Oryctolagus cuniculus: one gene and its partners. The protein of the gene in region 7 binds, or shares a complex with, the protein of the main gene of each other region. Links are inferred from orthologs where the notes say so. Each region holds a gene or a part of one and is shown on either strand. Other genes may lie near its edges. The genes, in order: RASA1, RASGRP4, GRB14, SOS1, PLCE1, MAPKAP1 and HRAS.

Evidence for each region.
Region 1: the proteins of HRAS (region 7) and RASA1 are in contact, whole or in part, in a crystal structure (PDB 8BOS), measured with the Homo sapiens proteins. The link is inferred for Oryctolagus cuniculus from reciprocal best matches to the Homo sapiens genes HRAS and RASA1. Residues at the interface, in NP_001123914.1 of Homo sapiens: Gly12, Gly13, Ser17, Ile21, Gln25, Asp30, Glu31, Tyr32, Asp33, Pro34, Thr35, Ile36, Glu37, Asp38, Ser39, Tyr40, Arg41, Gln61, Glu62, Glu63, Tyr64, Ala66, Met67, Lys88, Lys117; in NP_002881.1 of Homo sapiens: Gly746, Arg749, Glu783, Thr785, Thr786, Arg789, Ala790, Thr791, Glu799, Lys803, Ser833, Arg894, Gly898, Phe901, Leu902, Arg903, Cys906, Pro907, Leu910, Asn911, Met914, Arg928, Ile931, Ala934, Lys935, Gln938, Asn939, Asn942, Val944, Ala948.
Region 2: the proteins of HRAS (region 7) and RASGRP4 are in contact, whole or in part, in a crystal structure (PDB 6AXG), measured with the Homo sapiens proteins. The link is inferred for Oryctolagus cuniculus from reciprocal best matches to the Homo sapiens genes HRAS and RASGRP4. Residues at the interface, in NP_001123914.1 of Homo sapiens: Glu3, Gly12, Gly13, Gly15, Ser17, Ala18, Ile21, Asp33, Pro34, Thr35, Ile36, Glu37, Tyr40, Arg41, Asp54, Leu56, Asp57, Ala59, Gly60, Gln61, Glu63, Tyr64, Ser65, Ala66, Met67, Arg68, Asp69, Gln70, Arg73, Thr74; in NP_733749.1 of Homo sapiens: Tyr228, Gly232, Val234, Val244, Asn248, Ser251, Asn288, Met291, Ala292, Gly295, Gly296, Cys298, His299, Ser300, Leu327, Ala328, Ser329, His330, Asn331, Asn332, Tyr333, Ala334, Arg337, Leu351, Gly352, Val353, Leu355, Lys356, Val359, Ser360.
Region 3: the proteins of HRAS (region 7) and GRB14 are in contact, whole or in part, in a crystal structure (PDB 4K81), measured with the Homo sapiens proteins. The link is inferred for Oryctolagus cuniculus from reciprocal best matches to the Homo sapiens genes HRAS and GRB14. Residues at the interface, in NP_001123914.1 of Homo sapiens: Glu31, Asp33, Pro34, Ile36, Glu37, Asp38, Ser39, Tyr40, Arg41, Tyr64, Met67; in NP_004481.2 of Homo sapiens: Val109, Lys111, Asp116, Glu117, Thr118, Ser119, Arg120, Ala121, Leu122, Asp123, Lys140, His142.
Region 4: the proteins of HRAS (region 7) and SOS1 are in contact, whole or in part, in a crystal structure (PDB 4NYM), measured with the Homo sapiens proteins. The link is inferred for Oryctolagus cuniculus from reciprocal best matches to the Homo sapiens genes HRAS and SOS1. Residues at the interface, in NP_001123914.1 of Homo sapiens: Gly13, Gly15, Ser17, Ala18, Thr20, Ile21, Gln25, Asp30, Glu31, Tyr32, Asp33, Pro34, Thr35, Glu37, Tyr40, Arg41, Asp54, Ile55, Leu56, Asp57, Thr58, Ala59, Gly60, Gln61, Glu63, Tyr64, Ser65, Ala66, Met67, Arg68; in NP_005624.2 of Homo sapiens: Glu589, Lys602, Trp809, Thr810, Lys814, Leu822, Met824, Ile825, Arg826, Thr828, Thr829, Thr832, Glu836, Asn869, Leu872, Val875, Ser876, Asn879, Ser880, Ser881, Tyr884, Ser908, Asp910, His911, Tyr912, Lys913, Leu916, Phe929, Phe930, Gly931.
Region 5: the proteins of HRAS (region 7) and PLCE1 are in contact, whole or in part, in a crystal structure (PDB 2C5L), measured with the Homo sapiens proteins. The link is inferred for Oryctolagus cuniculus from reciprocal best matches to the Homo sapiens genes HRAS and PLCE1. Residues at the interface, in NP_001123914.1 of Homo sapiens: Ile24, Gln25, His27, Val29, Glu31, Asp33, Ile36, Glu37, Asp38, Ser39, Tyr40, Arg41, Glu63, Tyr64; in NP_057425.3 of Homo sapiens: Phe2138, Pro2146, Glu2147, Gln2148, Pro2149, Arg2150, Thr2151, Val2152, Ile2153, Lys2154, Lys2171, Tyr2174, Ser2175.
Region 6: the proteins of HRAS (region 7) and MAPKAP1 are in contact, whole or in part, in a crystal structure (PDB 7VV8), measured with the Homo sapiens proteins. The link is inferred for Oryctolagus cuniculus from reciprocal best matches to the Homo sapiens genes HRAS and MAPKAP1. Residues at the interface, in NP_001123914.1 of Homo sapiens: Gln25, Asp33, Ile36, Glu37, Asp38, Ser39, Tyr40, Arg41, Leu56, Glu63, Tyr64, Met67; in NP_001006618.1 of Homo sapiens: Glu277, Ser278, Phe280, Ala286, His287, Gly288, Phe289, Ser290, Leu291, Ile292, Gln293, Arg311, Arg312, Lys313.

Annotation. Positions count from the first base shown.
Region 1 is NC_091445.1:10,198,604-10,202,849, reverse strand, and holds the start of RASA1 (ras GTPase-activating protein 1), read right to left. Parts: upstream 2,801-4,246; 5' UTR 2,425-2,800; coding exon 1,934-2,424; intron 1-1,933. UniProt on the Homo sapiens protein: Inhibitory regulator of the Ras-cyclic AMP pathway. Stimulates the GTPase of normal but not oncogenic Ras p21; this stimulation may be further increased in the presence of NCK1.
Region 2 is NC_091449.1:16,194,609-16,198,711, forward strand, and holds the start of RASGRP4 (RAS guanyl-releasing protein 4), read left to right. Parts: upstream 1-1,303; 5' UTR 1,304-1,402; coding exon 1,403-1,425; intron 1,426-4,103.
Region 3 is NC_091434.1:77,009,177-77,011,987, forward strand, and holds the end of GRB14 (growth factor receptor-bound protein 14), read left to right. Parts: intron 1-301; coding exon 302-395; intron 396-1,674; coding exon 1,675-1,821; 3' UTR 1,822-2,311; downstream 2,312-2,811. UniProt on the Homo sapiens protein: Adapter protein which modulates coupling of cell surface receptor kinases with specific signaling pathways. Binds to, and suppresses signals from, the activated insulin receptor (INSR). Potent inhibitor of insulin-stimulated MAPK3 phosphorylation.
Region 4 is NC_091433.1:163,753,292-163,757,368, reverse strand, and holds the start of SOS1 (son of sevenless homolog 1), read right to left. Parts: upstream 2,801-4,077; 5' UTR 2,183-2,800; coding exon 2,096-2,182; intron 1-2,095.
Region 5 is NC_091446.1:36,441,033-36,444,532, reverse strand, and holds part of PLCE1 (1-phosphatidylinositol 4,5-bisphosphate phosphodiesterase epsilon-1), read left to right. Parts: intron 1-2,051; coding exon 2,052-2,113; intron 2,114-2,194; coding exon 2,195-2,360; intron 2,361-3,500. UniProt on the Homo sapiens protein: The production of the second messenger molecules diacylglycerol (DAG) and inositol 1,4,5-trisphosphate (IP3) is mediated by activated phosphatidylinositol-specific phospholipase C enzymes.
Region 6 is NC_091432.1:229,457,203-229,461,392, forward strand, and holds the start of MAPKAP1 (target of rapamycin complex 2 subunit MAPKAP1), read right to left. Parts: upstream 2,801-4,190; 5' UTR 2,526-2,800; intron 1-2,525. UniProt on the Homo sapiens protein: Component of the mechanistic target of rapamycin complex 2 (mTORC2), which transduces signals from growth factors to pathways involved in proliferation, cytoskeletal organization, lipogenesis and anabolic output.
Region 7 is NC_091432.1:197,007-201,024, forward strand, and holds the start of HRAS (GTPase HRas), read right to left. Parts: upstream 2,801-4,018; 5' UTR 2,617-2,800; intron 1,741-2,616; 5' UTR 1,693-1,740; coding exon 1,582-1,692; intron 1,501-1,581; coding exon 1,322-1,500; intron 1,245-1,321; coding exon 1,085-1,244; intron 989-1,084; exon of another isoform or gene 907-988; intron 539-906; coding exon 419-538; 3' UTR 415-418; intron 1-414. UniProt on the Homo sapiens protein: Involved in the activation of Ras protein signal transduction. Ras proteins bind GDP/GTP and possess intrinsic GTPase activity.

The DNA of each region.
Region 1 (4,246 bases), on a different chromosome or scaffold from region 7:
ATACTATATTGCCTCCAGTAACTCTAGATTGACATCTAAGATTAAAAAAAAAAAGGAAATTTGCACTTCTAAGTAGTATATTTTAAAAGCATACTTAGACATGGAGGGTACTTTTAGAACATCAACAACTGTCATATACACAGACGTACAAGTTTTATTCTTACTCCTAAATACAAAAAAATGATGAAAATCTCACTGAACAGACTTCTCACAAATCCATATTTTCCTAAGTACACACTCATCTTTATTATTAAAAATTTAACAAGAACACTCTGCTTTCCACTCAATTCTGCTGTAAGCTAAAATTGCTCTAGATAACAATCTATTAAAAAATTTTTTGAACTACAATATCCTAAATAGGCCTAAATCAATTCAGTTATGAACTGGTATAAGACTAGATTCTTTTAATATGAAAAATTACAGTTTATTAAAACCTTAGCAATAAGTACTTAATATTAAGTGTGCACATAATATTTACCTGTCATTTTTTCCAAAAAAGACTCGAAGGTGTGCAAGTAGCACTAAAAAACCAATTTTTAACATTCCCAAGAAATCTGCAAGACACACACATGAAATAACTTGGAATAAAATCAAACAAAAAAATTAATGTGTCAGTAATACAGCATCTTTTCCTAATTTTCCTAATTACTTTTTTCTTAAGATTCATTTTGAAAATCAGAATTGCGGGGGGGGGGGGGACACAGAGCTAGAGAATCTTCCATCCAATGGTTCACTCCCCATATCCCATATGGCCACAAGGGCCAGGCAGAAGCCAGGAGCCAAGAGCCTCCTCCAGGTCTCCGATGTAGGTGCAGGGACCCAAGGACTTGGGCCATTCTCCACTGCTTTCCCAGGTTATTAGCAGGGACCTGGATTGGAAGTGAAGCACCTGGGTTTCCAACCAGGCTCATGTGAAATGCTGTTGCTGCAGGTGGCAGCTTTACCTGTTACACCACAGCTGCAAGCCCTCCTCATCACTTTTTAAAGTCTTTCTAAATCCTCCAAAGTATTAAAAACAAAACAAAACAAAACAAAAAACACCTTTGGCTTGTCCAGAGTGACCATCCATCCACATACCAACCAAATGTTTTTTTCCTGATGCTCACCAAGGCTGCTGAAATCCTAAACATCATTTAAGACTGATGTGACAGATCACGTTTTGCCTACTAGTGTCCCTTCCTGTTCCAACATTTAAGTTATATTTAAAAAGTCATGCCCTGCATATTCTAAATGTCAAAATTAATTTCAAATAGAAGACCGTATTGGCCACCAACAAAAATTCTGAAGCGAAGCGCCGTTAAAATCTGTTTCGCATGAAGACTGTACTTCGAGCGTCTGAACTACAAAAGCATTACAGGTCCATCAACCAAGTCAGTCTACGAAACACGTTACCAGCTCAGAACCTGAGTCCTTCATCACACGCCTAACTCTCACAACTCTTCTTTCTCCCGGACCCACGTTCGCCTAAGGGATCAACACTTCGCTGCATCACTCTGCCTTCGTAGACAGAAGTTGGAGAAGTCGGTGCCACAAAAGCAAAGCATTCTGGTCAATGGATTGTTTTCTCTCCACGCTATCCCTACACACTAACTCATCAGGGCGCACACACACACAAGTCCATGTACACTGCGACTGCCTTGGCTCCGGGCAGGCTTGGCGAATCCTGGGGCACCCATTTGCAGGGCACACAACCATATCCGGTTCTCACTGGACACACACTTTTCCCATGCGTCCCATCTTAAAAACTACATCTTCCCAGAGGAGCCATGAACACACAAAGACGCCCCGGGAGCCCGCCTGTCGGGAAGAGGAGCGCTCCAGTTAAATCCCTACGCGCGACACCCGCAGCTCCACCAACTCTGCACAACAAATCACAGCCGCCAGAGAACAAGGTGCGTCTTCCCCCAAGCCCGCAACCGCACAGCCCACTTACTGGTTAGTCGGCGGCGCCGTCAGCGGGATGGCCACCTCTTCCTCCTCGTACTCTGGTCCATCCAGGGAGTCCCCTTCGTCCACCGTGCCCAGACCCGCACCCAGCGGGGGCAGCAGAGGCGGCGGCGGCGGCGGCAGAGGCGGGAAGCCGCCGCCCGGCCCGAGGGTCTCGGCCGGCAGCAAGGGGGTCCCCTTGGGGAGGGCCATGTCCCCACTAGGTCCAGCAGCGCCTCCCCCTGTCAGTCCCGCGCCCCCCAGGGCCCCCGCCACGGACCCGGCCCCCAGGAACCCCGACCCCACAGCGGCCCCGCCACCCAGCGCCCCGGCCTCCACCAGCCCGGGGCAGGGGGCGGCGGCCGCGGGGAGCTTCACGCGACACACCACCGGGTAGGCGGCACCGGAGCCCGCGGCCGCGCCGCCGCCGCCGCCGCCGCCTCCGGCTCCGGCAGCCACCGGGCCGCCCTCCTCACTGCCGGCCTCGGCGGCCATCATGTTGAAGCCCGCTGCGCTCAGCCTGCGCGGCCCGCCCGGGAGCCCCGGGGGCCAGCAGGCCCGGGCTCCGAGCCGCCCCACCCAGGCGCGTCCCCCCTTCAGCTCCCCAGGCGGAGGAAACAACAACAAAAGGAGAGAGCCCGCCGCCGCCGCCGCCGCCGCCGCCGCCGCGCCCCCTCCCCGGGCCACAGCCCAGACTCGCGGAGCCGCCTGCGTTACGGAGCGCCAAGTGGGCAAAAAAAGCCCAGCGCCGGCACAAACGCCGCCCCGGGCTCGCCTCGCACACCCACACTCACGCGCACACACATGCACGGACGCGGAAAACTTCCTGCGCTCGGGAGGAAGGGAAGCCCGGGGGAAGCGGCCGAGGCGGCCGCCGCTCCCTCAGCCGCCGCCGCTCGCTCACCACCCGAGTTCCGGCCACCCCCACCGCAGCCGCCGCCGCCGGGGCCGCTGCCTGGGACGCAGCCCCGGCAGCCGCTGCATCCTCCACCAGCCCGGCGCGGGGAGGGGTGGGCAGGGGAGGCGGGAGGGGCGGGGTGGCGAGGAAACCGCGGCGCTGCTCGCTACCTGCAGCGCTCGGGTAGTGAAACCCGAGACAGACCGGGAGGGAGAGAGAGAGAGAGAGAGAAAGGAGGGCGGGGCCGGGGAGGAGCGGCGGGGAGAGGAAGGGCGGCGGAGGCGGAGGGCGGCTTCTGCGCAGGCGCGGCCGCGCGGGGCGGGCGGGGCGGGAAGCGGCCCGCGAGGGGCGGAGGCGGCGCGGCGGCCTGGCCCGGCCGCGCGCGCGCGCGCGTGTGTGTGCGTGTGTGTGTGTCTGTGTGTGTGTGTGGCAGGCTGACATGAAACCCCGGGAGGCGAGAGGAGCTGGAAGAGCATGGAGCGGAAGGAAGAGCCCACCGGAGCCACTGCCGCGCTCGCTGACGGTGACGAAAAGCGGCGGCGCGGAGGCCCGACGGGGCGGGCGGGCGCGCGGCGAAGGTCAGCGCAGCGCGGGTGTGGGGCGCAGTGACCGCACGGCGACTGCCGCACTGGCAGGTCAGCTCCAAGGCGGCAGTCCCGGAACTCGGGAAAGCGCCGCGGGTGCCGGGAGCCGTGCGGGCAGGCGGTCGTGGTGTGGAGCGCGGTGTCCGCCGCCCCGTGCCGGCGCCCGTCCAGGTGGACGGTGAGGAGGTGTGAGAAGTGCCGGAGCCCGGGGCGGAGCGCCTGCACAAGCCCCTTGTCCAGGGTGTTCAACAGTAATAGCCTGGACCTCACCCTTAAAGCGCACAAGGAGGGGTTTTGTGTTCTCTTTAAAAGTATCCCTGGGGAACTGGTCCCAGGGCCTCCACCACGGGATACCAGGCTCTCAGGATGCTCGAATCCCTTTTTTTTTTTTTTTTTTTTTTTAATAAAGTGGTGTAGCGTTTGCACATAAGCACACCCTCCATGTACACCAACTCCTCTCTGGATTCCTTGCAATAACTAACACAGTGTAAATGCATGTAAATAGCCGTTATACTGTATTGTTTTGGAAATAACAAGAATCAAAATGACATTTTTGGTACAGATGCATGCTTGTAAAATGTTTCCCAGAGTTAGTTAATTCCTCAGATGTGAAGGGCCGACTAGATGCATTCACAGACACGCAGGAATTATTCCCATTGTTTGAAACCAATGGGTTGGCAGCTTGCCTTTTTCGATTCAAAAATTGTTCTGAGTTGGGGTGGATCTCAACACTGAATATCGTTGGATATTGTTCTTTCAGGTCACTATTTTCTCGGCTAAGGATGATCTAACTGACAAAGCAGCATACTGGGGAAGGCAAGGAGCTGTAATAGAAATC
Region 2 (4,103 bases), on a different chromosome or scaffold from region 7:
CCAAGTCCTTGGGCCCCTGCACCCACATGGGAGACCCGGAAGAAGCTCCTGGCTCCTGGCTTCGGATCGGTGCAGCTCTGCCATTGTGGCCAACTGGGGAGTGAACCATAGGATGGAAGACTTCTCTCTCTCTCTCTCTCTCTCTCTCTCTCTCTCCTCTCTGTGTGTAACTCTGTCAAATAAATAAATAAATCTTAAAAAAAAAAAAAGGGTTCACTCACTTGGTAACAACTGATCAACACAAATATTGAGTGATTTTTGCTCTTTTTTTTTGTCCTTCAGTTAAAAAATATGTCAAGTATGACACACTTAGGTAAAAAAAATGCATACTCAAAAGAACAGTCTGTTTCTATGAGCACACGTTTATGCACGTAAACACATTTCGGCAGTTTCGATGGCATCCAACAGCATTAACACTGGTCAGCCCTGCATGGGAGAGGGGGTGGCTGGGAGGGGCTCGAGAGTTTGCCTCCCCCTGTAATGTTTCTGTAATTAGATAACTGATCTGGGTGAGGATTAAATGAGTGAAAATGTTTTAAGCCCTCAGGGCAGGATATGGTACACAATAATTGCTAAATAAAAGTTTGTTGCAATAAAAGGAATGAAGTGGGAAAAAAAAGGGGCCAGCATTGTGGCACAGTGGGCTGGCTGCCACCTGCAGGGCTAGCATCCCACACGTTTCAATCCAGCTCCCTGCGGAGGCACCTGGGAGGCAGCAGATGATGGCCCAAATGCTAGAGCTCCTGCCACACCCAAAAGAGGCCTGGATGGAGCTCCTGGCTCCTGGCTTTGCCCTGGCTCAGCCCTGGCTGTTGCAGGTATTAAGGGAATAAACCAGCAAATGGAAGATCTCTCTATTTGTTGTTCTGCCTTTCAAATAAATAAAAATTCTAAAAAATTTAAGTGTAGTGTTTTCCAGGCTACAAATGGTGTCATTAAAAGTAACCCATCCATCAAAGAAGCACACAAAATAGCTTGATGAGTTTCCATTCCACCCTTTGGGTGTTATACACATGAATATGTTCTTATAGAAACAGAGACTTTTCTTTTGAGTGTGTTTTATATAAATATTAGTCACACTTTACCAAAAAAAAAAGGGGGGGGGGCCCTGCCACTATCAAAGCGTGACAGTGACGGGTCTCAAGTCAGAAAGATGGGGGAGATAGAGCCCGGGCTGGGTGGCTGGGGGTGGGGGGCCAGCAGCACCGGAAACCTCAGGCTGAAGGGATCCCCGGGGGGAGGGGATCCTCCCCTGGTCTCTCCCCAGCCTCTTCCTTCCCCCTGCCCAGGGTGGTGAGGAGGGGAAGTTCCTCTTTTCTTCCCGAGCACACAGGAGGCCTGCTCCCCTGGGACTGAGGAGCTGGCGCCAAGCTACCCTGGCAAGAGCGCCCCTCCAGGAAGCATGAACAGGAAAGACAGCAAGAGGTGAGAGGACCCTCCCCAGAGAGCCCCTAAGCCCTGCTGAGACACTGACCAGGAGGTAGGAAGGCTGCTGGGGCAAGATGATGGGAGCACCCCGAAGGCAGCCGGGGCCAGGGCGGCTTGCACCCAAGTGCTCTGTGCCCCGTCCTCACCCGCCCTGGAGCTGGAGCACCTGTGTGCCCTCCTCCCTCCTCGCTCTCCCCACCTGCACCCTATTCCCTCCACTGGGTGGCTCTGTCCTCCCTGGGGTCCTCCTGCTCCCCATCGCAGTTGCTGCCCCTTGGATGGGAAACTCCGGGCTCCTGCAGGACCCTGCCCCGAGGAGAGGGGCATGTGCGGCAGGGCGGGGCACTCGGCTGCTCCCGACACTGCAGAGGGCTGCCAGGCGTGGGTCAGGGCCCCACGGCTGGTTATGCTGGCAGGTTCTGGAATGGACTTCTATCTCCTAGGCTAGCTTGCCCTCCTGTCCCCACAGAGGCAGATGGTGACTGGGTCCCCCAGACAGAGTAGCTCCTCCAGTGTCCCCCAGCCTGATTCCGATGGGCAAAGGGGTTCCCTCCCCTCAGAACTCTGCAGGAATCCTGGCTGACTCATTTCCGGCTGTGTGACCTTAGGCAAGTCACTCAGCTTCCCTGTGCCTCTTTCATCATCTCTGTCAATGGAAGACTCAGAGACCATCAGCGAACCCGACAGGTTCTCAAACTTGACCATTCATCAGAGCCTCTTGGAGGGCTTGGGAAGTGCGGGCTGCCAGGCTCACCCCTAACGCTGTTGATTCTGTAGGTTGGAGTGGTGCCAGCAAATCTGTGTTTCTATCAAGTCCCTGGGAGATGCTGTTGGTACTTGTCGGGGACCCTGCTTGGAGACTCACTGATCTGGACGAGGGCTCAGCTGTGGGCCTGGTGCCTACTCAGGGATCATAAACGCCCACTATTGTTTCACTCTGATTTACTGCGTCTAGAACGTGCCAGGGACATGGCAGTGCCCTTGTCCATGGTCTCCCTGTTTCCAATTCCACCCACCGAGCCACAAGCCTGGCTTCTTCTCTGCCCCCGGCACTCTCTCTGTACCTCAAGTTCAAATTTCCCACCTCTGATCACTTAACAGCCTAGGCAGAATAAGTCTGCAGGGTCTTAGTCCACCCAAACGAGGATGGACTGGGTCCGAAGAAAGGTAAGTGCGCCGCTCGCCCGTTCCCCAGCCCGCCGATCCCGGGGACAGTCAGACGCAGTGGGGAGTCAAGCGCGTAGCAAAGCCTTTTATTTTATTTATTTATTTTTTAATTTTTTGACAGGCAGAGTGGACAGTGAGAGAGACAGAGAGAAAGGTCTTCCTTTGCCGTTGGTTCACCCTCCAATGGCCGCCGCGGCCGGCGCACTGTGGCCAGCGCACCGCGCTGAACCGATGGCAGGAACCAGGTACTTCTCCTGGTCTCCCATGGGGTGCAGGGCCCAAGGACTTGGGCCACCCTCCACTGCACTCCCTGGACACGGCAGAGAGCTGGCCTGGAAGAGGGGCAACCGGGACAGAATCCGGCGCCCCGACCAGGACTTGAACCCGGTATGCCGGCGCCACAAGGCGGAAGATTAGCCTAGTGAGCTGCGGCACTGGCGCAAAGCCTTTTAAAGCACAAGACCACAGGATTTCTGGGGCAGGGCATAAGGACCAACCAATTACTTAAAAGGTCATTTTATGGGGCGACTTTTTACAGGACCAGCCATATGTCTGTACACTCATCAGTTGTCATCACCTCCCCTGATGCTGGGCAGGCAATCAGCTTTGGTGGTCGACAACTTTGGATACTGCTCACCTTACTTCCCTTGGGCGCCATCTTTGAATTGCCTCCTGTGCCTAATTTCCCCACATAAGTCCATTACTGAGCCCTTTCGAGGAGCTAGGCATGGAATGCTTACAATAAATTCAGGGGCAGGGACAGTGTTCAGTGCAACAGTTAAGCTGCTGCATGGGATACCGACATCCTACAGAGGACGCCTGACTTTGAGTCCCGGCTCTGCTTCCGCTTCCAGCTTCCTGCTGATGTGCACTCTGGGAAGCTCCAATGATGGCCCAAGTGCTTGGGTTCCTGCCACCCACGTGGGAGGCCTGGATTGAGCTCTGGGCGCCTGGCTTTGGCCTGGCCCCAGATCCAGATGTTGCAAGCATTTGGGGAGTGAACCAGCAAATGGAAGATCTCTTTCTCTCGCTCTCTCTCTCGCTCAAATTAATTATATAATTTTTACAGATTTTGTTTTTTATTTATTTGAAAGGCAGAGTTGCAGAGAGAGGAAGAGGGGGAGAGAGAGACAGAGAAATCTTTCACCCACTGGTTCACTCCCCAAAGGGCCTAAAGAGTCAGGGCTGGACCAGGCCAGAGCCAAGAACCAGGAGCTTCTTTGAGGTCTCCCATGAGGATGCAGGGGCCCAAGCACTTGGATCATCTTTGGCTGCTTTCCCAGGTGCATTAGCAGGGAGCTGGCTCAGAAGTGGAGCAGCTGGGGCTCAAACCCACACCCATATAGGATGCTGGTGTCACAGGCAGAGGCTTAACCTGTCATACCACAATGTAATTTTTTAAATAATAGTTGTTGTTGTTTTTTTAATTCCTCGAGAAGGTCTAAAGATGGCTTTAGTTTTCATTTGAGGAAACAGACCAAGAGAAATGAAGTGACTAACAGCAAGTC
Region 3 (2,811 bases), on a different chromosome or scaffold from region 7:
ACTAATTACTGATGCCAGCATATTTTTATATTGATTTTTGGGAGCAAACAGTCTGACAAATGGGCTGTATGTTTGTCCTATTGAAACTGTATCAGCACCCAAGCCAGTATTAAAGTATAAGATTATATTATGCATTATACCATATCATTTACCAACTTGGGTAATCTTACCCATTGCACCCACAATTAAGGATCCCCAACTATAATTTATGAATATGCTTTCTGGATGTGTTATACACTATAATTCTGTGAAACCCATGAGTAAATGTAAAAACATATTGAAATTCCTTCTCTCTTTTTAGAGTTTTCTTGGTACGGGATAGTCAGAGTAACCCCAAAACTTTTGTACTATCAATGAGTCATGGACAAAAAATAAAGCACTTTCAAATTATACCAGTAAGTAATTTGTGATTTCACATTTGTATATTAGAGATGATCTTAATGCATAAGCTTTTGGAAACTTTAGTTTTCTTTTGTTCCTTTTTATTAAATATAATTTGGAAGCTTGTGCTTTGACTAAAGTTAAGTTTGGCAGAAATGGTTTTATGAGCCTGAATTAATATAAGAAATACAGGAATTGTAAAAATTAAATTTTCTTTTTTCCATGAAATATGATTTAGCAATATTGTATAGACCCCATGCCACCTATTGTTAAAAGGCCACTAAAGATACGTTCTCCTGAATTCTACTAATGGTTCTTTAGAAAACATTATTTTAAAGCTCTTTCTCTTCCATTTTCTCAAAATTGATTTTTCATTGTTTTGTTTTTAATCATTATGGATAAAAACACAGGTGCTATGAAACTGGTGAACATTGAAACTATTCTGAGCACATTTTAAAATGTTCTGTAATTCTGCTTCTGGTGCCACAGTTTGCTGTGGGATTTTGTTGCTTTTGCCGCTGCTGCTGCCACTGTTGTGTGTGTGTGTGTGTGTGTGTGCGTGTGCGTGTATGTATGTGAAGTGCATATTGGAACCAGGTAATATGGAAGATTCAGTCTACTTTCATGATAGGGTTTCTTAAGATTACTAAATTGTTCATGCATCCTTTTGAATTGCTTTTTTTTTTTTGTGCTTATCGAAAGGGTGTAAAAATATCCTCCTTACTTCATTGAGTATGTGGTCAATGTCCCCAGCAAGTGTGAGTTGTTTAATGCCAGATGACTTCACTGCCAAAAAGAAGACAATTGACATTCCATTAATGTAATATTTGATTGTGTCAGAATCAATTTGCTGATGGAAATTATGTGAATATTCATTTTAAATACACTAAGTGAGGCTGTTAAGTAGACCACACTTAGAAATGGAAATTAATTTTTGTAAGTGGAAGCATTAAAATCTTCTGTTTACTTTTACACTGGGTACTACGGCTTTCTCAACGCTCATTGACTCAAAATAGTCATACTACCCAAACTACACAGAATGTTGGCATAATTACAGGTCAGTAAAGTGGAATCACACTGCTTTAAATGAGGAACAGATTATATTTCTTTTAAATGCAATTGATGTTACCTAAAAGAACTGGACATGCCACAGTATTCTTTTCACTATCATTCAGTTATATGAACTTATCAATTTTGGCATGGTAGGGCATGGAGAAAAATTGTGCAATGACATAGGATTGTTCTGGGTAATTTGACCAAATCTTGACCAGTTTGTTGATTTTCCTCCTGCAGATTGAAGATGATGGTGCAATGTTCCATACACTGGATGATGGCCACACAAGATTTACAGATCTAATTCAACTGGTGGAGTTCTATCAACTCAATAAGGGTGTTCTTCCTTGCAAGTTGAAGCATTATTGTGCTAGGATGGCTCTTTAACCAAATCAGAAGTGACTTGTGAAACTATTGAAGGAAAAAGAACTCAAGAAGAAAATTAAGAGAGAGACCATAAATAAGGGTGAAAATGTTAACCATGGGGAAAAGAATGTATTTCATCTCAAGTTACAAGAAAGAGTTATACATTGCAAATAAGCAAAGACTTGGATTGACATTATATTCATCATTTAAAGTTCATTAGTTAAAAATTAAACTTTAGGAAAAAATTGGCTTGATGTGTTCTTGTGTTATTTTACATTACTATACTTTTTTCAAATATGCATACAGATGTACATCAATCTTTCCTTCTCTACTATATAATATTATAACTTTAAAATACAAACTAGGAAACAATAATGGGATTAAAAATGAATTATTTACAGACTGAGCTTTAATTATACTGTTTTTTATTATTAAGAACAGTGAGAAAAACTTGAGTTATCAATTAAAAGGAGCTATCCACAACTTGTTAATAAAACTAAACTACTTCAAATTATGTATCTTCTGATTTATTATAATCTTCAAATAGCATATTTTTACATAGTGTATTAAAATTATTTTGAGATATATAGAGTTGTTATGGATAAATTTATTACATTATTGAATTACTATACTATGAAATCTATACTGGTATTCTGCCTACTGGAACATAGGTTTAGCATGTAATCTATGACAGCACAACATTGTCATCTTGGATAGCTCATATTTGCCCCATATTCTGACTTTCAGAACACTTTAGACAGTCAGTAACAGAACATTAACCCAATCAAAACAGGTGAAATGAAATATTCAAAATCTAGAAAGATCCTCATAGATAACTCCTTGTTTTCTTATTGCCTAGCTGCTTTTCAGTTTCTTACTATGGCAGCTCCAATATGGAAGCCACACATTTTGAAAGCTTTAACAGTCATTTCCTTCTTACTTCTGTGAGATCAGCTGGGAAATTTTGAGGTTGTGATGACTGTTTCCATTGTATTGTGGTGAGGGTATTCA
Region 4 (4,077 bases), on a different chromosome or scaffold from region 7:
GACTCCCTGCTGGTAGACAGTTGGATAAGAATTGGAAGATACATTTATCAGTCAGACTGTACACTTCTACCTCCTCCCATCATTTCTATTCCAAGGGCAACTCTGTTAGAGTCAAAAGCCCCTTTGTGTAGAGGTGGGCGTTTGGCCTAGCTGCTAAGCCAGAGTTTGGGTTCAATATCAGGCCCTGGCTTCTGATTCCAGCTTTTGCTAATATGGACTCCAAGAGGCAGTTGTGACGGCTCAAGTAATCGGGTTCCTGTCACCCACATGGGAAACCTGGAGCTCCCAACTCCCAGCTTCAGTCCTCGCCATTATGAGCACTGGGAAAGTTAGCCAGCAGAGGAGAGCAAGGTGTTCTCTCTCACTCTCCCTCTCTCTCCACTGCCCAAACTTTCAAGTCAATAAACACCTAAGCATTGTTTTATGTAAACAAGCAAAGGGGACTGCTGAGGACTTTGTAAACGCCAATGTGCACCTGTCTAAAGACGGCAGCTATCCATGCACCCGCAGCAGGTCACTGGCTGGCTTTTCACGTGGGACCTGAGTGGAGAGATTTTTCTTCAACAAAAGCTGTGAATTCAGATTTTGTGTAATATCTCCCATGTGTAAACACTTAACAATAAACAACACTGTGCCAGCCAAACAAAACTCTTCTGAGGACAGATCCCAGCAGGGCCCCCCACGTGGCAGACAGTGAGTCTGCCAATTCTAATGCCATTCTTTGCACTACTTCCAAGGATCCTCAACCCACAGACCGGTGGTTCCCCTGGGATGGGACCTGTAAGCTTCTAAGCAAAATGACCCCAAGTGAGTAATGCTTCATGAGGCTTTTTGGGTATGTTTTCAGACAACTGTTTTATTTTCCTCTACCCTGATGGAACACCAGCTTCTAGCACCACTGTGACCTCCTACTCCCCTTCTATCACAAGAAGACACACTTGCAGGCAAAGCACAACTAAACAGATGGAGAACCTGGTAGGAGTTCTAATGAATGAAGTATACCGATAACACACACACACACACACACACAAAACACACTTTATTAGAAAACACCAAAGAGATGTTAATGACTAGCCAAACATTTGAGGGGGAAAAGTTGGTAGTTCAATCCTTAATATATGAGCAGATTTTGCTAACTAAGTAGGTTCCACTGTAAGACTGCAAAAGGGGGAGGGGGAGACCAGGGCAAAAAAAGAAAGTAAAAGCTTCTGGCCTTGGATAAACTCAGACACCTTTTAAGACACTGTGTTCAAGTGGAAATGTTTACCATGAAAGACTAACCATAACCCCAGCCCTCAGGAGGAGCAAAGCTGTATTTTAACCAGATCTCATGAAACATTCTTTGGGCAACAAGAAACTGGGATTTAGACACACAGTTGAAAGCATAAAGCCACCCCACCAGAAAAGGAAGAAATGAAGAAAAGGAAACGAAAACAGTCCAGTTGTTTTTAAACTCACACACCAGTTTCTGATGTTTTTAACGTGCAGTGTTTGTCACAACGTTGCTTTACAAACAAAATGTAGCAACATTTCCTATATAACTTTAGATAACAATGTGGCCAACGTAAACATACAAAACAGAGGTTAAAAATTCTAACCCAAATGACATCACCAAGATTTTCAACCGTCAAAAAATAATAAGTCTGAAAATACTGGCATGTGTAGCAGCTCCTCGTTAATCGGAGGGGGTGCCCAGGAGAACGCAGAGGGAGCAAAGCAGGCCATGCTGCCGCCGGCAGGCAAGCTCGCAGCAAACATGATGGCCAGAGCGTTATCGGGCCAGTGAAAGGAGCGTCCCGGACACTTCAACCGGGAGGCTGACAGCAGCTCGGCAAAGAGACCGGCCAGGAGGAGGGGTGGCCTGCGCTGACCTCCGCTGAACCCCGGGGCTCCCCCGACTGCTGTCTCCGACCCTCTCCCCGCGGCCTGCCTTCCCACACACCGGGGCACGTCCCCGCCGAGCGCCCGCCGGCTGCGGAGGGACCGGGAAGAAAGGCGGCCCTGCCCGCGCGCGCCCCGCCTCCCCGGCCGGGCTCCGACCCGGCGCCCGCCTCGGGGGCTGCGGCCGGGCAGCGGGGTTCCCCGCGCTCCTCACCTTCTTCAGCGCAGGCACCAGCAGCCCCCGCCACTTGGGCGCGTTCTCCTCGCTGAAAAACTCGTACGGCAGCTGCTGCGCCTGCATGGTGCCCCCGGGGCGCCTCTGGGCGGGGAGAGGGGCGGCGGCGACGGCCCGGCCGGGAAGCCGCGAGAGGGCGAGCTCGCAGCGCGGAACAGGGCCGCGGCCCCTCCGGACGGCCCGGCCCCCTCGGGGCGCCGCACGGCCGGGCTAGCCCCGGAGAGGCGGCTGCGGGACGAGGCCCGCGCGCGGCCACCCGCCCGACACCGGCACCAGCCGCGGAGAGCGAACACGGCCCGGAGGTGGCGGCGGCGGCGGCGGCATCCCGGCCGCACCACCGCCCTGGGGCCAGGCCCCCCGCCCCTCCCCGGCCCGCCGGCGCCGCCCCGAGCTGCCCTCCGCCGCGGCCGCCGCCCGCCCGCCCGCTGCCGGGGCTACGCTCCGCTCCGGGCCCGGCCTGCCCGGCCGAGGAGCTGGCGGCAGGGGGAGGGCGTGTGGAGGGGCGCTCCTGCCGCGGCGCCCGCTCGCCCAGCGAGGACTTCGACACGCTAGAGTCTTAGAGCGGGAGGGAGCTCGGGGGCGAGGAAGGGCCCGAAGTCGCCGCTGGGGTTCCGGCCGCCGGGTTGCACCGCGGCCGCCGCCGCCGCCGCCGCCGCCGGTGCAGCGCTGGAGCTTCCTACTAGCGAACTGAACCTGCGCGCTACTGAGCATGCGCCGCCGGGCTGGGCCGGTTCCCTCCGGGTTTTCCGGCTCCCGGTGAAGGAGGGAGGGCGAGGGAGGGCGCCGGGCCCGGCTGTGGCTGCGCTCCCGGGGGCTGCAGGGGAGGGGCGGTGGGGCCCGAGAAGTCGAACCCTGGCCGAATGGGGCCTGCGGGTGGGGGTGGGAGGCGAGCTGTGCTGAGACGGCCCCCATTGTGTGGCCGCGCCGCGAGGGATCCCACCCCTCTCTTGGAGTCCCCGGGCCTTGGTTTCGGAAAGGGGTGTGTGTGTGTGTCTGGGTCTGTGTGTGTACTTTGTTCCCGACCATGAGGATAAGGGCTGCTCGGAGCGTGCAACGTATAGTAAACAGACTGCACAAAGATAGGTTTCCCTCTGCTCAGTATTTGTCAGGTGGCAGAAGCGACTGCGATGTTTCCAGCCGGCCTTTCCACAGCAAGGGTAGAATGGGTGTTCAGGTTCAGCCTGCGCAAACCCACATCAGACAACCAACTCCAGTCAGTGCTTCCCTGCCCTGGAAAGTGGGACATCATACGCGGTTCCCAGGTTCCAGAGAACCTCACTTGGTCTGTTTTGCGTTTTCTATCTTCCCCGGCATTTTGGTTAGATCGTGAACGCCTGCAAGGCAGATCTTTTTCTCCAGGGAATGCTTGTGGAATGCTAAAGGTGCAGTGTATAAATTTGTCCCTCGGTTCCAGGGCTGCAGATGTTGGTTTCCAATACCACTGTTGGGTAGACACCTCGTGGTTTTCATTAAACACTAAAGTATCGCTCCCTGAGCCCTCACAGCAATCATGTTTTCATTTCACAGAGAAGACAGTGCAGAGGACTAGCCTGGGTTGAGCTGGCATTTGTGTCCTGCTGGTCCATGGAACAATAGCCAGGATCCCAAAGCTGAGAAATGTTTAAGCGGTGCATCTTAATCTTTACAGAACTTCTCTGAGAATCTGAATCAAGTCTTGGGCTTTTTCCTTTTAAAAATGGGCATGCCTGATTTACACTTTCAGAAGTGTTCAGTGACATTTTGAAACCCGTCAGTCAGTCCTCTGGAAGAGGAGAACCTACATTGTTTGGAGTCGAGTTGGGGGCGTCTCAGTGGAGAACGTGTTAGACCCCTTCCACTACCTACAGGGCTGATATAGGTGAAAAGGCTTTGTGTGGTTCTAAAGGAGTGAGCCTACACTGGTGGTCTGCTGCCAACTATTCCTTGGCTCTTCGTTGCTCTTAGAATACATTTCAGGCCAG
Region 5 (3,500 bases), on a different chromosome or scaffold from region 7:
TGCGACGTATTTATTGTTTTTTTCTATACTTCTTTTTTTTTTTTAATTTTTTTGACAGGCAGAGTGGACAGTGAGAGAGACAGAGAGAAAGGTCTTCCTTTTGCTGTTGGTTCACCCTCCAATGGCTGCCGCTGCCGGCGCACCACGCTGATCCGATGGCAGGAGCCAGGTGCTTCTCCTGGTCTCCCATGGGGTGCAGGGCCCAAGCACTTGGGCCATCCTCCACTGCACTCCCTGGCCACAGCAGAGAGCTGGCCTGGAAGAGGGGCAACCGGGACAAAATCCGGTGCCCCGACCGGGACTAGAACCTGATGTGCCGGCACCGCAAGGTGGAGGATTAGCCTAGTGAGCTGTGGTGCCGGCCTCTATACTTCTTTTCAAAACTCTCACCTGTGACAGAAATAAGAAATAAAAGGGGCTTTTTTTTTTTAAGATTTATTTTATTTATTTGAAAGAGTTACAGAGAGAGGTAGAGATAGAGAAGTCTTCCATCCACTGGTTCACTCCCCAGATGGCTGCAATGGCCGGAGCTGTGCCGATCCAAAGCCAGGAGCCAGGAGCTTCTTCCGGTTCTCCCACCTGGGTACAGGGGCCCAAGGACTTGGGCCATCTTCTACTGCTATCCCAGGCCACAGCAGAGAGCTGGATTGGAAGACGAGCAGCCGGGACTAGAAATCGGCACCCATATGGGATGCTGGTACCTCAGGCCAGGGCTTTAACCTACTGTGCCACACCACCGGCCCCAAAAGGGGCTTTTTAAATGCTAAATATATGTATTCTTACTTATTGTATAATTAACATGTGTCCCAGGCAATGTCTGACTCAGTGACTAAGGAATCATTACCTAATTCCTTCTTATTCTTGCACAGGCAACATAATTAGTCTGGATTTTCTACCTCTTTTGTTATTTAACAAGTGGTTATTAGCCCCTATAATGCTGTCTCAGTTCCTGGAGCGGGGAAGAGAGTTGGGGAAAAGATCAGAGCTCTGTCCCTCAGTGCAGCTTATATTCCAGTGCTGAGACTGACAAGAAACAAGGATACGATATAATTGCAGGTGCTAGTGGGTTCTGAAAAGAACCAGGCAGAGGCTGGAGTCGTGGAGGAGGGCTGAGAGGAGTAAGCAAAGGCCACTCGGAGGAGCTGGCATCGGAGCTGGGCCCTGTTTAGTCCAAATGTCATGGAAAGGTCTGAGGAAAGCGCATCCCAGGCAGGGGGCAGCAGCTCCGAGGCTGGGCAGGCGCAGGCTGGGGAGCCACGGCAGAGCTAATGTCCTGGGGTCTGAGGAAGCCAGGTGGACTTGGTTCCACACAGGTGTGCCGGGACCCAGCCAGCCTGTGGTGGAGAGGTCGCCTTCAGTCCATGAGAAAGGAGAAGCCGTTGGGGTTTTCCGAGCGGGAGAGTCACATGATTTATGTTTCTAAGAGGTCACTCTGGCCCCACTGGAGAATAAACTGTGCTGGGGAAGGAGTGGGAGTCAGAGATCATTTAGGAGGTGGTGGTGGTGGCGGTTAGACCAGAGAGGGGCGGGGACGAGAGGCGGCGGGAGCGTCCCCTGTGGCTGGGTCACTTGCCGCAGAGGTACTCTTGGGCCTGATGGGGGACCAGTGGACGTGCTTTCCAACACTGGATTTGATCACCAGCCTTGCAACAATTGAGAGAACCAGCACAGTGCTGGGTGCTCCCTGTAGCGTCCCCGAGTGCTGGCACAGTCCTAAGTGCTCCCTGTCTCTGGGAGCTGCTATTATTATCCCCATTTTCACCTGGATAAACTGATTCCCTTTGTTTTCATATAAATCAGCCTTATTCTTTTCTCTTGCTCCTTTTTTTTCCTCTTAAATAAATAGGCTCAGTATAATAAACTCACATATAATAAATGTTTTCTTTTGGACTAAAAACTACATCTTACCATTACATTACTAAATTAGTTCAAATATTTGGTTTAGATGTTTCCTGATGAAAACAGAACAGCTTTAAAAAATGATGTGGTTTTTTTCCCCCCTCATGGTTTCCTTTACCTAAATTATACTTTTTTTTTTCTATCCCTTGCAGAAGTTCGAGCCTAGCATCAGTATGTGTCACCAAGGTCTAATGTCATTTGAAGGATTTGCGAGGTAATTTTGAAAATGTCTCTTGATCATCATTTAAAAGCATGTGTTTTTCCCACGTAGCTTAAGAACATTTGTTTCATCTAGGTTTCTGATGGATAAAGAGAATTTTGCCTCGAAAAATGATGAGTCACAGGAGAACATTAAAGAATTGCAGCTACCCCTGTCCTACTATTACATTGAGTCTTCACACAATACCTACCTCACAGGCCATCAGCTGAAAGGGGAGTCCTCAGTAGAACTCTACAGCCAGGTACCAAGAATGTCACTTGGAACATGGTTTTCATTAAGTTTCATTATTTACATAGCTGGCAAAGTCACAAAACCTGACCCCAGACTGCTTTGAAGGGTTTATATGTGACATGTGAGAAGCCATGATGTGTGGGAAAACTAGCTATACATCCAGCACTTGTTTTCTTTCTGCTTTTTGTTTGGTTTGGTTTCCTCCCCCATCTATACTTAACCTTTATTCTGGCGAAAAAAAAAAAAAAAAGGATTTGTTGGAGACTCATAGCTTTTAGATCCTAGTTAATCTGACCTACTTCTACTAAAATTAGATTTTCTCATGGGAAAATTATCTAATCGTTTCACAAAATGCTAAATAAATCAATACATTGTAGTGGGAAAGCATAGTAGAAAATGAAACTTTCTACAAAGATAATACCAAAATATAGTTTGTTTTGCTTTGCAATTTGTTAGACAATCAGTCCATCTCTATGGTAACCACCTTGAGAAAAAAGTCTGCACAGACTGTAGGCACTGTCCCTCGGCACTCAGATCCATGGGAATGTTCTTTGAAAGTCAGCAGGTTCTCTGGGCTGGGAAAAGCACATCCTTTTGACCTAAACGGCCAACTTTGAACAGTCTGCTGTCTGTTGCTGCTCTATTGTGTTGTCTGCAGCTTCCTCAGCTATGCTGCCTGTTTCCAGAACTCCTACAAGAAGGATTAATGAGGAAGGAGCTAGGCCAGGTCCACAGAGTGTATCAATGGGCCGTTATGTGCGTATGGGTCCAAGGTTGAAAATTATGGTTGTGTTGCTTACACAACTCTAGTAGCAATGAGATTTCTTTGTTCTCCAAATTTGTCCAGATAGTCCTCAAAGCATGGGACAAATTTTTGTCCCAAAGCTTATTTTACGTGGAATATATATTTTACATTTTTTAAAAAAAAGGCTTGTTTATTTATTTATTTGAAAGGCAGAGTTACAGAGAGGCAGAGGCAGAGATACAGAAAAGTCTTCCATCTGCTGGTTCACTCCCCAAATGACTGCAACAGCTGGAGCTGAGCCGATCCGAAGCTAGGAGCCAGGAGCTTCTTCCAGGTCTCCCGTGGGGTGCAGGGGCCTAAGGATTTGGGCCATCTTCTGGTTTCCCAGGCCTGAGCAGGGAGCTG
Region 6 (4,190 bases), about 230 Mb from region 7:
TGGGGAGTGAACCAGTAGATAGAAGACTTCTCTATCTCTCTGCCTCTCCTCTCTGAGTAACTCTGACTTTCAAATAAATAAATAAATCTTAAAAAAGATATTTGAGACCAGAACTATATAGGATTTTAATTTTTTCAGGTTTTGAAGTATTTCCATAGGCTTAATCCAAAATTCCAAAATTCCAAATACTCCAAAAACTGAAGCTTTTTGATAGTCATGTAGTGCTCAAAGTTTCTGCTCTTGGGGGTGGGTGTTTGGCTCGGTGGCTGGGACCCACTTGAGAAGCCCACATGTCAAGGCGCCTGGGGTCCCTACCCATTTCCAGCTCCTGACTCCCAGCTTCCTGCTGATGCAATCAGGACACAAGGGACTGGGTTCCTGCCATCCATGTGGGAGACCTTCACTGAGCTCCTGGCTCCTGATTTTTGCCCTGGCCCAGCCCCAGCCATTGCAGAAATTCGGAGAGTGGACCAGTGATTGGGAACTGTGTGTCCTTTTGCCTCTCAAAAAAAAAGAAATTAAAAAAGAAAATTTCAGATTTTAGATTTTTGGATCAGGGATGCTCAACCTACACCAGGCCCTTTATCCACAGTAGCTCACTACATATTCCGAACACCTGTGAGGTCAGTAGCATCCCTCATCCCTACGCCTAGTTGAGGAAAATGATGCCTAGGGTTAAGAAACTTGCCAAAGGTCACTTATCTAGTCAGAAGAGAGACCAGGAACTGAACACAGAGCCCATGCTAATTCTCTAGACTATCTTCTTTGCCCATATTCAAAGTTGAGGTGATCAGCTACTACCAACTTGCCTTGGAAGGCTGTGATACATTCAAATGATTCTTAGTACCATGCACTTTAATATTCATATTTTTTCCTTTGTATAGTTTCAGGATGTTCTTGATTAGATAGCTATGGGATGAGAAAGACGGCAAGCCAAGTAATGGAAAAGTACAGATTTAAGCATCAGAGAGATCTGGGTTTGACCATGGCTGTCTTGTATCAGTTACATCATTTATCCTAAGTCTTCCTAATCTATAAATTGAGGTTAAAATGATAAAACAAGAAAAACTGATATATAACATGCAATACATAAATACTGAATAAAGTATGCATTACAAAGCATCCCCTGGCCATATCCCACCCCTCAAAAGTGAACGACCAGTCCCCCTTCTGTACAAATGTATCACAAAAAGAACTCTGTACTGATCACTGTGTTGGAATTATAATTTCCTTATCTGTCTCACTAAGCTGAGCTCCCTGCAGGCCAGAACCCAGTCTGATGTATCTGCACACTGCTTAACACTGCCCCTGGCACACACCCATACTCAGTAACTGTTTGCCAAATGAAATAACTGTAAATACAACAATGAGTGCTTACAGGAGTCTAGAGAAATCATTTCTAGTTGGGGTTGTCCCAAACTGGGTGAGGGAGGCCAACTTCAGCTAGGCCAAGGGGCGTTTCTCGAGAGGACCACAGAAAAGGGGAAACCTTCTCACGCCCTGCCAAAGACAAAGGGCGACGTGAGAGCCTAGAGCAACGGATCCGAGTGGGGGCCTCTGCCCCGAGCCAGGTCGGGGGGCGCACAGGCACGAGTGTGGTCTGGCCCACAGTGGGAGGGAGAGGGGCTACCAGCACACGCCACAGGCCCAGAGAGCTCGCACGTGGGTACGCTGGAGAGGATGAAAACCATTATCACTTCATCAAGGGCGCCCCCGGCACCACGGGAGCACCCGGCGTGGGCTCTCAGCACCCGAGACTACAGCAGGGTGCCTCGTTAGCTGTCCTGGTGGGTTTTAACGCTGAAGATCCACCCCCGCCTGCCTGTCCAAACAGCACGAGAAGTCCGGCTTTTTCTAGCGGTGTACCGCCACTGGGTCACACCCGAGAAGTTTTCAACTTTGCTGACTTGGGTTTACAACAACATGATGCTTTCCACGGTGCCACTTCGGTGGGCTTCAAACAGCACTTGCGTTCATTCAGAATGCAGTTTTATCCGATTTCTGAGTCAATTTGGGGAAGGGGTGTCTCTGGTTAAAATACTACCCTTGTGTACACAATTTTTTTCTCCAACCTTAAACAGATCCAGAAGACTCCCACAAATAAAAAAAAAAAAAAAAAAAAAAAACCTGACCCAAAGTTGCAGCAGCACTCCAGCTAACAAAAACTCAGCGGGGCTGTTCATCCGTGCAGGGGGACGAGACAGGACCACGCACGCAACACCTGAAGAACTCGATGTTCACACTGTGAAGAGCGGGGCACCTACAGAAACCGCAGGAGCCACCTGCGCCCGCGCCCCCACCCCACACGACGGGGTCCACACCCGGACGTCAGGCTCACGGCAGCCTCCGCTCCTGGAAGGGGCCAGGGAACGGCTGCCGCTGACCACCGGAGCAGGGGCCTGACGGGCGGCCCGCTGGGCAGGCAGCGCCGGGGATCCGAGCCGCCAGGCCCCGTGAGAGGCCGAGCGGGCCGGCCGGCGGGCAGGCGGGCGGGCAAGGGAGCTAGCGGCTGGGGCAACCTTTACCTGAAGCTGCTTCCACACTACGGGCCGGGCTGGCCTTGGGAAACGTTCCTGAGAGGAGGGCCCGGCTCCCCCACGCCTCCCGGCCCCTGCCCCGACTCTGCACTCTCGGGATCCTCGGGGACCGGTGCTCCTCCCGGCCCTCTCAGCTGCCGTCGCCCGGACTAGCCCTCATGTCCCGGCTGCTCGCCGCCGCCGACCGGCCGAGCAGCAGCCCTGTTACCCCGAGCCGCGCCACGACCCGGAACCGCACCCCCGCGCACCGGAAGTCCCCGACCAGGAAGGCGCCTCTGGCTGGGGAACGCAGTGCGCAAGCTCGAGAGTCGAGAGCCACTTCCCGGGGGGCGGGGGGCCGTGCGCATGCGCGTTCTTCTCCGGGGTCGGTAGAGGCCTGGGTCCGAGCCTGGGAATCCCGGCGAGGTTCGCTCGCGCCCGGCTTTCCTGGGACGGAAATCGACGTCAGCGATCCCCGTGGAGCCCTCGTTCTTGCCACTTGCAAAGAGAAGAGCCCCCAGTTCATCCAGAAATGAGGAACGAGGCAGCCTAGCGCGTGTATCCGAAAGCCCTGGGTTCGAATGCCGCTGCTGACTTGCAGTGTACCCCTGGACACTGCAGCTGCCCCCTCGGAGCCTCGGCTTTCCCGTCCGTAGCAGCAGTTCCGGGATGACGGGATGGCTGTGAGAATCAAACGGGGTGAGGGGTGAGGGGCCGCACAGTGGCTGACGGCACGCACCCGCAGGAGGTGCCGCGACCTCCCTCATTGTGTGTAGTGCCCAGACGCGGGTCCGCGGCGAGGACGGCAGGGAGGCGCACGGGGTGCTGGGTGCTGGCACCGCACGGTCGGTGCGGGCGCGCCCTGCACCTGCCCTCCGTGGTTCCGGCGGGGACCTGTCGGGGGCGCTCTGGCCGGGTGGACAGAAAGGTTGGGTAGGTTCCCCCACTTCCCCCCAAACCTTTCTCTCGTTTTCTCTGCTTTCCTGGGCTCCAGTCTGAAACCCAGCTGCCTGAGCGTCCCTCCCACGGCCAAGACCTGTGTGAAATCGAAATCGACTGGACCTGCGGGTCGCTCATGGAGTCTAAAGACTGAACACTCTCTCCACTTAGGAGTTTTGTAGCTTCGTCTCTCCAAGCTACCTCTTTAAATTTCCTTATCTGTAGAATGGAAATCAAAAGTAACAGAGCCAGACCTTGTGCAACAGTAGGTTAAGCTGCAGCCTGCAATGCCAGTTCTCATATCAGGGTACTGGTTCATGTCCCGGCTGGTCCACTTCCCATCCAGCTTCCTGTTAATGCTCCTGGGAAAGCAGCACAGGATGGGCCAAGTACATGGACCCCTGCACCCACTTGGGATCCTGATGGAGTACCTGGCTCCTGGCTTTGGCCTGGCCCAGCCCCAACCATCATGGTCATTTGGAGAATGAACCAACGGATGGAAGATCTCTTTCTGTACTACCTATCTCTGTCACTCTAACTTTCAAATAAATACAATAGATCTTTTAAAAAAAAGACTGAAACAAAAAAGTCATAACCGTTGTGAGGACTGAATGAGCTAATACGTAGAACTCCATAGAATGCAGCCAAGCAGGTGGCTAATACTGAGTACTTACCACTGTTACTACACCTGTCAATAAGCAGGTACTTATGGGTGCCCAGCCTAGGCACTGGAGA
Region 7 (4,018 bases):
GGGCCGGGCGGGGGCGTGGGGCACGTGTGGGGCCGGGCAAGGGCATGGGGCCGGGCGGGGGCGTGGGGCCGGGCGGGGGCGTGGGGCACGTGTGGGGCCGGGCAAGGGCGTGGGGCCGGGCGGGGGCGTGGGGCACGTGTGGGGCCGGGCAAGGGCATGGGGCCGGGCGGGGGCGTGGGGCCGGGCGGGGGCGTGGGGCCGTGCAGGGGCGTGGGGCCGGGCGGGGGCGTGGGGCCGGGCGGGGGCGTGGGGCCGGGCAGGGGCGTGGGGCACACGGGGGCGTGGGGCCGGGCAGGGGCGTGGGGCCGGGCGGGGGCGTGGGGCCGGGCGGGGGCGTGGGGCCGGGCAAGGGCGTGGGGCCGGGCGGGGGCGTGGGGCCGGGCGGGAACCCACGGGCCGGCGGCCCCGGCTCACCTGCTCAGGACAGCACACACTTGCAGCTCAGACAGCCGCGGCCGCTCTCGTCGGGCGGGTTCAGCTTCCGCAGCTTATGCTGCCGGATCTCCCGCACCAGCGTGTAGAACGCGTCCTCCACGCCCTGGAAGGGAGGAGCGGGCTCAGGGCGCGGCCACCGGGGGACCCGCTGTTTCCCGCCGAGGGCTCAGGCTGAACCCTTGCCCCTCCCTGCTCGTCGGCAGCTTCCCGGGCCGCCCCCGTGGGCAGGCTCACCTCCCCACCCCAACTCTGCGCCCGGCTGGTGAGCTACAGGGCTCAGAACCCACAGGAACCCGTGGGACACTGGGGACAGAGGGGCAGGGGCCCAGGGTCACCGCTCCAGCCTGGCTCAGGGCAGCTCTCTCTAGGGACCCCCCCTCCCCTGGGGCTGCGTCAGCCCAGGACTGCAGGGCGTGAGCCCAGACCCCGGCCCTCGCCTCCCTCACTGCCCTGCCGTCCGGGGAGACTTACAGCGCGAGGGGCCGCTGGGTCACATGGGTCCCGGGGGGTCCCAGAGGGTCCCGGAGCTGGAGCCAGAGCCAGAGCGGCTGCCCTGCGTCGAGGGAGAGGGGCTGTGAGCACTGCTCCCTGGCGGGGGCGGGGTGGGGCCGGGGCGTCCCTGGGCGGCTGGGGGCGGGGCCGGGCTCACCTGCCGCGTCTTGGCCGAGGTCTCGATATAGGGGACGCCGTAGCTGCGGGCCAGGTCCTGCGCCTGCCGGGACTCCACGGTGCGCGCCGCCAGGTCGCACTTGTTCCCCACCAGCACCATGGGCACGTCGTCCGAGTCTTTCACCCGCTTGATCTGCTCCCTGGGAGCGGCAGGCGTGAGCCGGGGCGCGCACTGCCGGCCTGGCCAGCGCCCCCGTGCGCGCCCCGCGGCGCTCACCTGTACTGGTGGATGTCCTCGAAGGACTTGGTGTTGTTGATGGCGAACACGCAGAGGAAGCCCTCGCCCGTGCGCATGTACTGGTCCCGCATGGCGCTGTACTCCTCCTGGCCCGCCGTGTCCAGGATGTCCAGCAGGCACGTCTCCCCGTCGATGACCACCTGCTTCCGGTACGAGTCCTGCGGGAGGCGGCGTCTCAGGGACCGCGTGGCGGCAGGCTACCGGCGCTGGCCGCCCAGGGGAGGGGTCGCCGGGCTCACCTCGATGGTGGGGTCATATTCGTCCACGAAGTGGTTCTGGATCAGCTGGATGGTCAGTGCGCTCTTGCCTACACCGCCGGCGCCCACCACCACCAGCTTATACTCCGTCATCGCGCGCTGCTCGCGGGCTGCCCGGCGCTGTGGGGTCTCCTGCCCCGCCTGCCAAGGAGGGCCACGCTCAGCCAGGCCCGCAGCTCCGACGGCCAGGACGGCGGCCCAGCTGCCCACCTGGGCCAGCCGCCATCCAGGGGGCGGGAGGGGTGCCGCCTCCCCACCCCGCCGCACCAGCGACAGCGTGAGCAAGGCAGGGCGCCTACCCCCAAAGGCAGGGCTGACAGCTGAGAGCTTCTCCCAACCACGCACCCAAATTAGAAGCTGCTGTGTAGGCAGAACGCACAACCCGCAGGGCCTGAGGGCTGAGGTTAGCCTCCCAGAACAGGTCCTGCCGCGGCCGGCCGGGCCACAGCCTGCCCAGGCAGGCCAGCGTCAGCCAGCCGCCGGGCCCGGGGGTGCGTCCGAACAGCATTACCGAGCGCGCACCGCATGCAGGTGCCGCCGCGGCCCGAGGGACAGGGGGCCTGGGGCGCAATCCCCGCCCTCTGGGGTCCCCAGGATGTCGGCTCCCCGGGGTGTCCACCGGCCCCAAAGTCCTCGGAGAAACGCGCAGGGGTTCCGGCAAACAGGGGCTCAGCCCTAGCGCAGGGGCAGCGCAGGGGAGGCCCGGACCCCGAGCCGGCGCGCCCCGGGTCGCGGCGTGCAGGGCGGGGCGCCCTGGCGGCCCTGAGGGCCACGGTGGCCGCGGCGCTGGGCCTCTCCGAGCCCTGGGCAGCGCGGGGAGGAGACGGCGCCCGGCGCCATGGCGCAGGCGGGGCCTGGTCCCGGGGGCCCGCAGCCACAGGGACGCCAGGAAGGGGCCGCGGACGCCGCCCCCCGCCCCGCCGCCGCCCCCGGCCCGCACGCGCGCCCGCCCCGCGCCGCCGCCAGCAGGGCCGGGAGGGGGCGCCGGGCCCCCGCCCCCGCCCCGCCCGCACTCACCGCTCACGGGCGCGACTGCCCCCGGGGCCGGGGCCGGGGCGGGGGCGGGGGCGGGCGCGGGGTCCAAGCGCGCGGCTCGCCCCGCGCATGGGCTCCGTCCGCGCCGGGTGCGGCTCAGGCTGCGGGCGCCGGCAGCGGGCGACGGACACTCGACCGCGGCCGCGCCTGCCCCGCCCCCGCGCCCGTCCGTCAGCCCGGCGCAGCCTATCATTGGACGCGCTCGGCCGAGCCACACCCCACGCGGTTGGCTGAGCGGCCCGTCCGTCAGGAAGCGCGACCGGGCGGGGCTTCCGGGAGTGGCTCGCAGGGCGGTGCCCGGCAGGCCTCGGCCGAGCCGGGGCCCCGCACCGAGTTCTGCGGGTGCCGAGGGAACGCGTGGCGGGCTGGAGGGGCGGGCACGGCAGCGGGGCCGGCGCTGGGGAAGGCCAGAGGTCCGCCTTCCGGCCCGAAGTTCCCATCAGACCGAGCCCAAAAGTTGCTGCACGCACGAAGGGCAGAGACCCGCACTCCCCTGGAGGAAGCGGGAGGCGGGGAACGGGGCGTGCGGCTCTGCGCCGGGCGTCCCCTCTGGCCGTGGCGGGGGTCTCAGGACGGGCTTCCCGCGCGGGAGCCGCGGCAGGTGCAGCACGGTCCCGGGTACCCCCGCCCTGCAGCCGTCGCTAGGGGGCGTGGCCGCGCGCCGCGTGAGAGGCTCGCGCCTCATGAATATTCTGGTATGCAGATGAGGCCCCGCCCGGTTGCCATGGCTCCCGGGCCGCAGCCCCGCGGCCGGAAGAACTGGCGGAGTCGGAGAGCGCCGCGGCCGCGGGCACCCAGGGCCGAGCCCCGGGCTGGGCACCCCGGCGCCCCGCAGGTGAGGGGAAGCCCGGGCCGAGGTGGACTCAGCAGAGCCTCTGGGGCCCAGCGACAGCCTCAGAGGTCAAAAGGTGTCCCCGCGGAGGCCACGCCCGCGCCTCGGGACTTGCTGGGGCTGGCTCCAGGGTGGGGTCACTCCAGGGTGGGGTCATGGGAAGGGAGCCAGGTGTGCCCTGGGTACTGGGCCGTGAAGGGAGGAGCCAGGGCCGTCGCCAGCCTCGGGCCTTGGGGGCGTGGCAGAGGAGCAGTGTCCAGGAGTGGGGGCTTGGGCCTAGCTGCCTCCAACCCCTGGACTTTGAACCCCTTGGGGCCTGGCTGAGGCAGGACCCTCGGCCACCCATGGGCGTCCAGGGCCAGCCCGTCTCCCTGGCCATGATGAGGTGGCAGTTGGGCATGGTGGGGATTAGCTGGGAGGCCTAGGGCCGGGCACCAGCTGCAGGAGGGCAGGCAGCAGGGAAAGTCCACGGGGCTCCCCAGGGGACCTGCGCGTTCCTGGGTCCTCAGCATGTGGGTCACTATCCAGACCGGACCCCTGAGGCTCTCTCCC